Cricetulus griseus: one gene and its partner. The protein of the gene in region 1 purifies or fractionates together with the protein of each later gene. This does not show direct contact. Links are inferred from orthologs where the notes say so. Each region holds a gene or a part of one and is shown in the gene's direction. Other genes may lie near its edges.

Evidence for each region.
Region 2: the proteins of Abca1 (region 1) and Nr1h2 purify together in Homo sapiens (affinity purification with western blotting; 3 studies listed by BioGRID and IntAct, with this or other methods). This does not show direct contact. The link is inferred for Cricetulus griseus from reciprocal best matches to the Homo sapiens genes ABCA1 and NR1H2.

The regions. Positions count from the first base shown.
Region 1 is NC_048595.1:90,700,558-90,704,372, forward strand, and holds part of Abca1 (phospholipid-transporting ATPase ABCA1), read left to right. Parts: coding exon 1-46; intron 47-599; coding exon 600-776; intron 777-1,174; coding exon 1,175-1,397; intron 1,398-2,770; coding exon 2,771-2,992; intron 2,993-3,815. UniProt on the Homo sapiens protein: Catalyzes the translocation of specific phospholipids from the cytoplasmic to the extracellular/lumenal leaflet of membrane coupled to the hydrolysis of ATP.
Region 2 is NC_048599.1:153,424,040-153,427,325, reverse strand, and holds the end of Nr1h2 (oxysterols receptor LXR-beta), read left to right. Parts: intron 1-221; coding exon 222-321; intron 322-1,551; coding exon 1,552-1,760; intron 1,761-1,993; coding exon 1,994-2,140; 3' UTR 2,141-2,525; downstream 2,526-3,286. UniProt on the Homo sapiens protein: Nuclear receptor that exhibits a ligand-dependent transcriptional activation activity. Binds preferentially to double-stranded oligonucleotide direct repeats having the consensus half-site sequence 5'-AGGTCA-3' and 4-nt spacing (DR-4).

The DNA.
Region 1 (3,815 bases):
GAATGGACATTGACAATGTCGAGAGGACCAATAAGATCAAGGATGGGTAAGTAGAATCCCATCACACAAGCCCAGTGTTGCAAAGGTCAAGAAGATAATTTAGATGGCTTTTATGACTGTTGGTTCTCTGTTAGCAGTTTGGAAGGAATTTCAACAACAAATCAGTAGCAGCAGCATGACTTGGCTAAAACTGCATTGCTGGGGACTGTTAATCAAAGGCCATAAAATATTAGTCTTTCCGTTTCAGCATTCCTGTTCAAAAGATTAACTGAAAGGACTTAAAAGTCAGGAGAAAGAAAGAAAAGCCTTTAGGGGGTCTCTGTGCTAGCCAGACACATTTTTATAAAAAGAAGCAGACAAGCGATAAAAGGGAGTGGGTAGTTGAAATTTTAGTATGTCTATCTGATGTAACGTTATACCTAAGGAGAAAAGAAAAAATATACCATAAGGAGTGTGTTCATTGTGATTATTTCTATTCAAGAATCTATGTATTTATCAATTGAAATAGGAATAGATTAAAAAATAGGAATAGTAGCCAAGGAAGTGTGTGGGAAATGTGGGTAATTGGATTTTCCAGTATGTCTATTGTTTGCTTTTAGGTACTGGGACCCTGGTCCCCGGGCTGACCCATTTGAGGATATGCGATATGTCTGGGGGGGCTTCGCCTACTTGCAGGATGTGGTAGAGCAAGCGATCATCAGAGTGCTGACGGGAACTGAGAAGAAAACGGGTGTCTATGTGCAACAGATGCCCTACCCCTGTTACGTTGATGACATGTGAGTGTACCAACAAGCCAGCCTGTTTTTTTATTAAACAAGCAGCTCCATGTGGAGTACATGCATGTTTCTGCACAGTGTGGGAGTGAATGCACGTCAATAGGAGGTGATTAGAGACCCTGACCCTTGGACTCTGTCCCCTCCTTTAGTGTTTAGTACTTAGTAAAGTAATTTACCTTTATTTTAATATTATCCCCACTATTTCCTAGTTATTAAAGTGATCCCCTAAAGAAATTTTGGATGGCTGCACTCTGTCAGCCAAGGTTCTCATCTCTGTCTACTGCTAATGAAACATTTGGTCATTTGAGAGTCCAGTGGGCCTTCCCTTGGTGACCCAAATGTAGTTTTCCCTCTAATATGCAAGAGCTTTTTTCCATGCTTTTCATCTGTGTCTCCAGTTTCCTTCGGGTGATGAGCCGGTCCATGCCCCTCTTCATGACCCTGGCCTGGATTTACTCTGTTGCTGTGATCATCAAGGGCATTGTATATGAAAAGGAGGCTCGGCTGAAGGAGACCATGCGGATCATGGGCCTGGACAATGGTATTCTCTGGTTTAGCTGGTTCATCAGCAGCCTCATCCCTCTGCTTGTGAGTGCTGGCCTGCTGGTCATCATCTTGAAGGTAAAGGGGCCTCTCTCCTTCCAGAAAAGCACACATTTACCTGCACCACACTGTACTTCAGGGTCAATCCTTAGGAGTGTTGGGTGGGGATTATTTTCAAGTTGGTAAAAGCAATAGTCAGAAGGTTATACTACAGTTTGGATGTCTGGAGGAAGAGGCTGAGGCAGACTTTGCTATATGGATATTAGTAGGGATCAGTATCTGGAGGGATGGAACATATGCTGGCTCATGCAGAGAGAGGAATTGAACCATGTCTCAACAACCCAGTGGGGTGCTCTGGAGAATTTATAGCTTGTCCAGGAGTTTCCCACATTGAACTGAGAAGAAGCCCAAATTCTTATCCCTAAGGCCTGACATCCTCTCTCCCATTTAGTCAGTCATTGGATGGGGCTCACCAGGGAAAGGGGTGTTCTAGGGCCTGGAAGCTCTCCTAGCTATGACAACAGAGACGCTAACATCTGGATGTCTTTTATCTGCAGACAGGCAAGCCCTCCCTTAAAGTGGAGTCTGGGCAGTGAAATTTTTGTCTCATACATGAATCTACTCTTCAGCTTTCTTAACTCATCGTTATTTCATACAAAGCTGCCTCTTATAAAAGTTAGTGTTTTCCAGCGGGGGAGGAAAGGGAGAGAGAGAGAGAGAGAGAGAGAGAGAGAGAGAGAGAGAGAGAGAGAGAGAGAGAGAGAGAGAGAGAGAGCACAAAGCAAGACAATGTAATATTCATCTTAATGCTAGCTATATATATTACTCCTGAGCACTCGCTGAGTAACCTTATAGTAACCCATGGAGTTCCCAGGGCAGGCCAGAGCCTCTCTAAATCGTGCCAGGATGACAGACCAAGATTTATTTGCAACCTGTTTATTTATACTCTGGTATCCAAGGGCAAGGACCTAAGCCTTGTACAAGGGTAGGGGTCCTGTGGGAAAATTCACAAGCATTTATGCATACATGAAGACTTTGTAGCTACCAGGGTAAGGTTAAGGTTGCCTGGCCTGTTTCTAGGTTGGTGGAGAGAGAGGATAAGTGGGCTGTTGTCCCACACAACTTTTTCTTAGGGGCAGTGGTTGTCCTTGAATGAGGAGAAGCCAGGTATCATTATCTCTGTGAGAAACAGAGAGCAATATTGTCCACTGAGATCAAGTAGAAGGTCCTGAACTTCGCACTTACCATAATTCTGCTGTGGCTTTTTTTTAAATGTGTAGTCTCAAGTAAGGTATTTCTCCTGGGTTTGATTTCTGCATCAGAAAACTGAACAGTGTGGTTCCCCTACATTATCTCTGAAAGAATTATGAGTGGAAACTAGCATTGAGATTACATGAGCGAGTGACTGGGCTTGCCAAGGTCACACATTTATCCAGTCTCTTCTTCTCCAGTTAGGAAACCTGCTGCCCTATAGTGATCCCAGCGTAGTGTTCGTCTTCCTGTCTGTGTTTGCCGTGGTGACCATCCTACAGTGCTTCCTCATTAGCACGCTCTTCTCCCGGGCCAACCTGGCAGCAGCCTGTGGGGGCATCATCTACTTCACATTGTACCTGCCATATGTCCTGTGTGTAGCCTGGCAGGACTACGTGGGCTTCTCCATCAAGATCTTTGCTGTGAGTAACGCTAGTCTTTCTCCAGAGTTGTAGTCCTTCCTGACCCCGACCCCTGGGGATTTGGCATTCACTCTGAACTCCTCTCTTACTCAATTGTTCCTCCTTCGCCCTTACAGTGAGCACTAGTTGGATTTGATTTTTGTCAGAGATCAGATTGTACCTTGAACATGTTGGATATAAATGACATTGGGGAATGTATTTAGTGTAGCAGTAGATACCACATCTACCCCTTGTCTTCTAGCTCTTTGGCCATAATAAGATCACAGTAAAGTCATGACCATGGATAGCTTGCGGCCACAAGTGGTTCATTTATGACTCGTCTTTCTTGTATCCATTTTGGTATTTGACTTAGGTAATATTTTCTGAACTGAATAAGTCTGAACATGACTTTCCCTCCCACAGATCCCTGATCAGGACATTTTTTCCTCTCGTGTGTAGGTGTGGTCTTTGAGCATGTGAGAATATCAGTAAAAGCCACTCACTAGCTGCGCCATGGGTCACTAATATTAGTAGGCTCTCAGCATGCTGCAGGTCCCTCAGGCTGAGTCTCATGGATGTCAAACCTTAAAGTAGCTCTTCTGATCCTGAATACTCAATGACTGATCAGGGAAAAAGTCTTTGATGTCACTATAGGAGGCTGAATGGGGGACAGGATTGCTGAGCCTTGGAATATCTTGGGAAGCATACAGTTCTAAAAGTCTCACCTGCTCTCATGCATGCATTTCTGAAATGTGTGTGCATAATGAGTGCTTATAAATGAAATCATTTTATATGCTGTAAGGGAGTCCTGTCTCCAAAGGGACTCTAGGAGAATACTTACATG
Region 2 (3,286 bases), on another chromosome or scaffold:
AATATTGTCAGCTGTATGCAAAGATCTGTTCTAAGTGCCGAGAGTCAAAACTCTAGCCTGTACCTCATGATTATGTGAGGCGAGTGTCCTTGGATGGGACAGTGGGTGGCAGAGTTGAGGAAGGAAAGCTAGGGATATCCGGCCTGGGAGAGGAATGACAGTTGGTCTTAGCACATTTGACTTTGGGGCACCTGAAGAGCCCTATACCTTGTCTCATCCAGATCATGTTGCTGGAGACAGCCAGACGCTACAACCATGAGACAGAGTGTATCACCTTCCTGAAGGACTTTACTTACAGCAAGGATGACTTCCACCGTGCAGGTCTGTGGAGAGCACTGGCGCAGGGTCCTGGTGTTTCTGCCCCATTGGACCTCCAGGTTGGGCACTGGCAAGACCATTTTTGTCACCTGGCACTCTGGCAGGAAATTAGGAAGAAGCACCTATACCTAAGGCTGACTCATGGAGCTCGGTCCTGGAGAGCTCACATGGCTGTCTCCCTGAGGATGGGACTGTGGGCCACTGCCATCCAGTGTGAACAGAGGCTTGTTCACGTAGCTTTGGGAATCCCGTCACTTCTACCCGAATGACTGTCAGTATCCTTAGGCATCCATTCCCAACTTTGTCTTCCTTCTTTAGGCTCCAGCCCGTCTACTATACAAGGAGTCCTAGGATCCTTCCTGTGTGAGCTTAGCAGGGCACGTGTGGGGGAGAAAAGTATTTGTTGTAAGGATCAAAAGCCCTGCAGCCAGGCTTGAAGGAAGCTCATGGAGCCCCAGGCAGTCAGGTCTAGGAAGATGGGACTGGAAGGACATCAGCATCCCATCCTAGCTCTTCCACTGCCTGGCCCCAGGCTCAGCCACTCCTGCTTGGATCCTTACGAGGACTGGTGGCTCTCAGATACTACCCTCCCGACATGTGTGTCTTTACAGCAGTCCAGGGTACTGTGCCAGTCCGGTAGCACCCATACTCCTTCTGCTAGGACAGGACCTGACCTCCATGCTCCTCTGCCTTGGTCCATTCTGTCCCAAGCACTGGTTGCCTTGTTCTGAGTTGGTGCCCATCAGCACAGTCCAGCATCAGGGCTTAGCATTAACTATGCCTTGCTTGGAACTGGGTGACAACTCCTTGTTTGCCTGGAACCTGCCCAGATGGATTTTTTTGTTTTTTATTGGGTCTCACTGTGTAGGCCAGGGCAAACTAGAATTTGTTGTCCTTTACAGAGAAAGGGGTGGGGTGGTGTGTAAACCACTCTCCTCCAAGGCCTGGCACATAGTAGGTACACTTAAATAGTGGTTCATGAGTGAGTCCTAGCATATCTTAGTCTTTACAGTGTGGGCTAGCCTATACCCTTTTCCTCTGCCTTCACCAAGACAGATTCTGGGACCTGAGAAGACGGGACCTTCCAGGATGTGTGTGGGGGAAGGGGGAGGGTGTTGGTGCCGTCTTGGTGGCGTGGCTGCTATATAACAGACATTCACAGGGTCCACACTGGGAGGGAGCAGGCGTAAGTGTTATGAGGGGTGTGGAGCTAATCTGGGACTGCTCTTGCAGGCTTGCAGGTGGAGTTCATCAACCCCATCTTCGAGTTTTCTCGGGCCATGCGCCGGCTGGGCCTGGACGACGCCGAGTATGCCCTGCTCATTGCGATCAACATCTTCTCAGCAGACCGGCCCAATGTGCAGGAGCCCAGCCGCGTGGAGGCCCTGCAGCAGCCCTACGTGGAGGCACTCCTCTCCTACACGCGAATCAAGCGGCCGCAGGTACGGGAGCCCCTAGTCCCAAGCCGGGGGCTTGGTGGTGGGGTTAGGTGGTACACACCCGGGCATGCCGATCCTGTGCCCTCGTTTGGCTGTTATGAGGTCAGTAGAGATGCCCCAACCTCCGGGTTGGGTTCGAGGCTGGGCTGACCACTCATGGTATTGACTTTGCGGACTCAGCTGGCCTTGCAGGGCAGTGCCCTTATCAGCACCTGTCTGCCTCCTTTCCCCTGCAGGACCAGCTCCGCTTCCCACGCATGCTCATGAAGCTGGTGAGCCTGCGCACCCTCAGCTCTGTGCACTCAGAGCAGGTCTTTGCCTTGCGGCTCCAGGACAAGAAGCTGCCTCCTTTGCTGTCCGAGATCTGGGATGTGCACGAGTAGGGGCCACCATGCATGCCCCAGCTTGGTGGCATCTTCTTGCAGATGGACGCTTCGCCTTCCCTCCTGGGGTGGGAGGACATGGTCATGGCCCAGCCCTGAGGGGCTCAGCCGCAAGCCCAGTGGCAGTTGGCACCAGGAGGCCCCTCCCCACCCACCGAGTCTTCCAGGAGGGGTGACGGTCACAGGTCCTAGCCTCTGACCTTCCCCAGCTGCCCTCCCACCCAGCTTACACCTCAGCCTACCACGCCATGCACCTTGAGTGGAAAGAGGTGAGGGCTGGTGTCTTCCCATATTAGGGAGACCTCAGGCCCCTTCCTCTGCCTCTTTTATTTAATAAAAAAAAACAAAAACAAAGAAATAAAGTCTGAATGCAAGCCAACCCTGAGCCCAGTGTGAGAAGTAGTTCAGGCCACTGTGGGTGGGGTGGTGTCCTTACACAGCATAGTTTGAGGCACTGGAGGTCAGAGGGTTGGAAGGGAAGGGGAGAGGAGCTTTATGGGGAAGGTGATGAGAGGGCCCTTCCTGGCTAGGGGCAGGCTTCCAAAGTTGGGGACTGAGCATCTGGCCATGAATGTCATAAACAAGAAAGGAAGGGACTTGTAGGGCAACAGAAGTAAGTTATAGGCGACCCTGCGGCCTGCGGGAGGTGGTAGGCAGTCAGGTAGCTTCCCGCATGCCCGCAGGGGGCGCTCGGGAATCACCAACTGCGTCTTGTTGCTGGGGGCGTGTCCTCCGGCCATAGCGTCATGAAGGGCGGGACTGCAGTCCAAGTTGGGTGGAGGGGCGGGGCCCTTTGCGAGAGGGCGTGGAATCGGCTGGGGGAGCCGTGAGGTTTGCCCGCCCTAGCCGGTCAGGGGCGGGGCCCAGCTGGCGCGCCGCAGCTCTGGGCCTGCGCGCAAAGGGGTTAGGGGTCACGGCGGCGTAGTTTGTGGCGGGAAAAGCAGTTTGATGCGGGTGAGTAAGGAAAAGGGGCAATGGGACGCTCGGTGGGGTCAGCGGAGGGCTCAACAGGAGGGTTCGTTGAGTATCTGCAGCGGCGGGCAGGATAGGGCAGGGCTGGCGGCTCAAGTGACGGATCCCTGGAGCGAGGAGCCGGGGCGCGTGGGACTGTCCCAGTGTGGGCTCCTCGGCGTGCGTGCAAGCCTG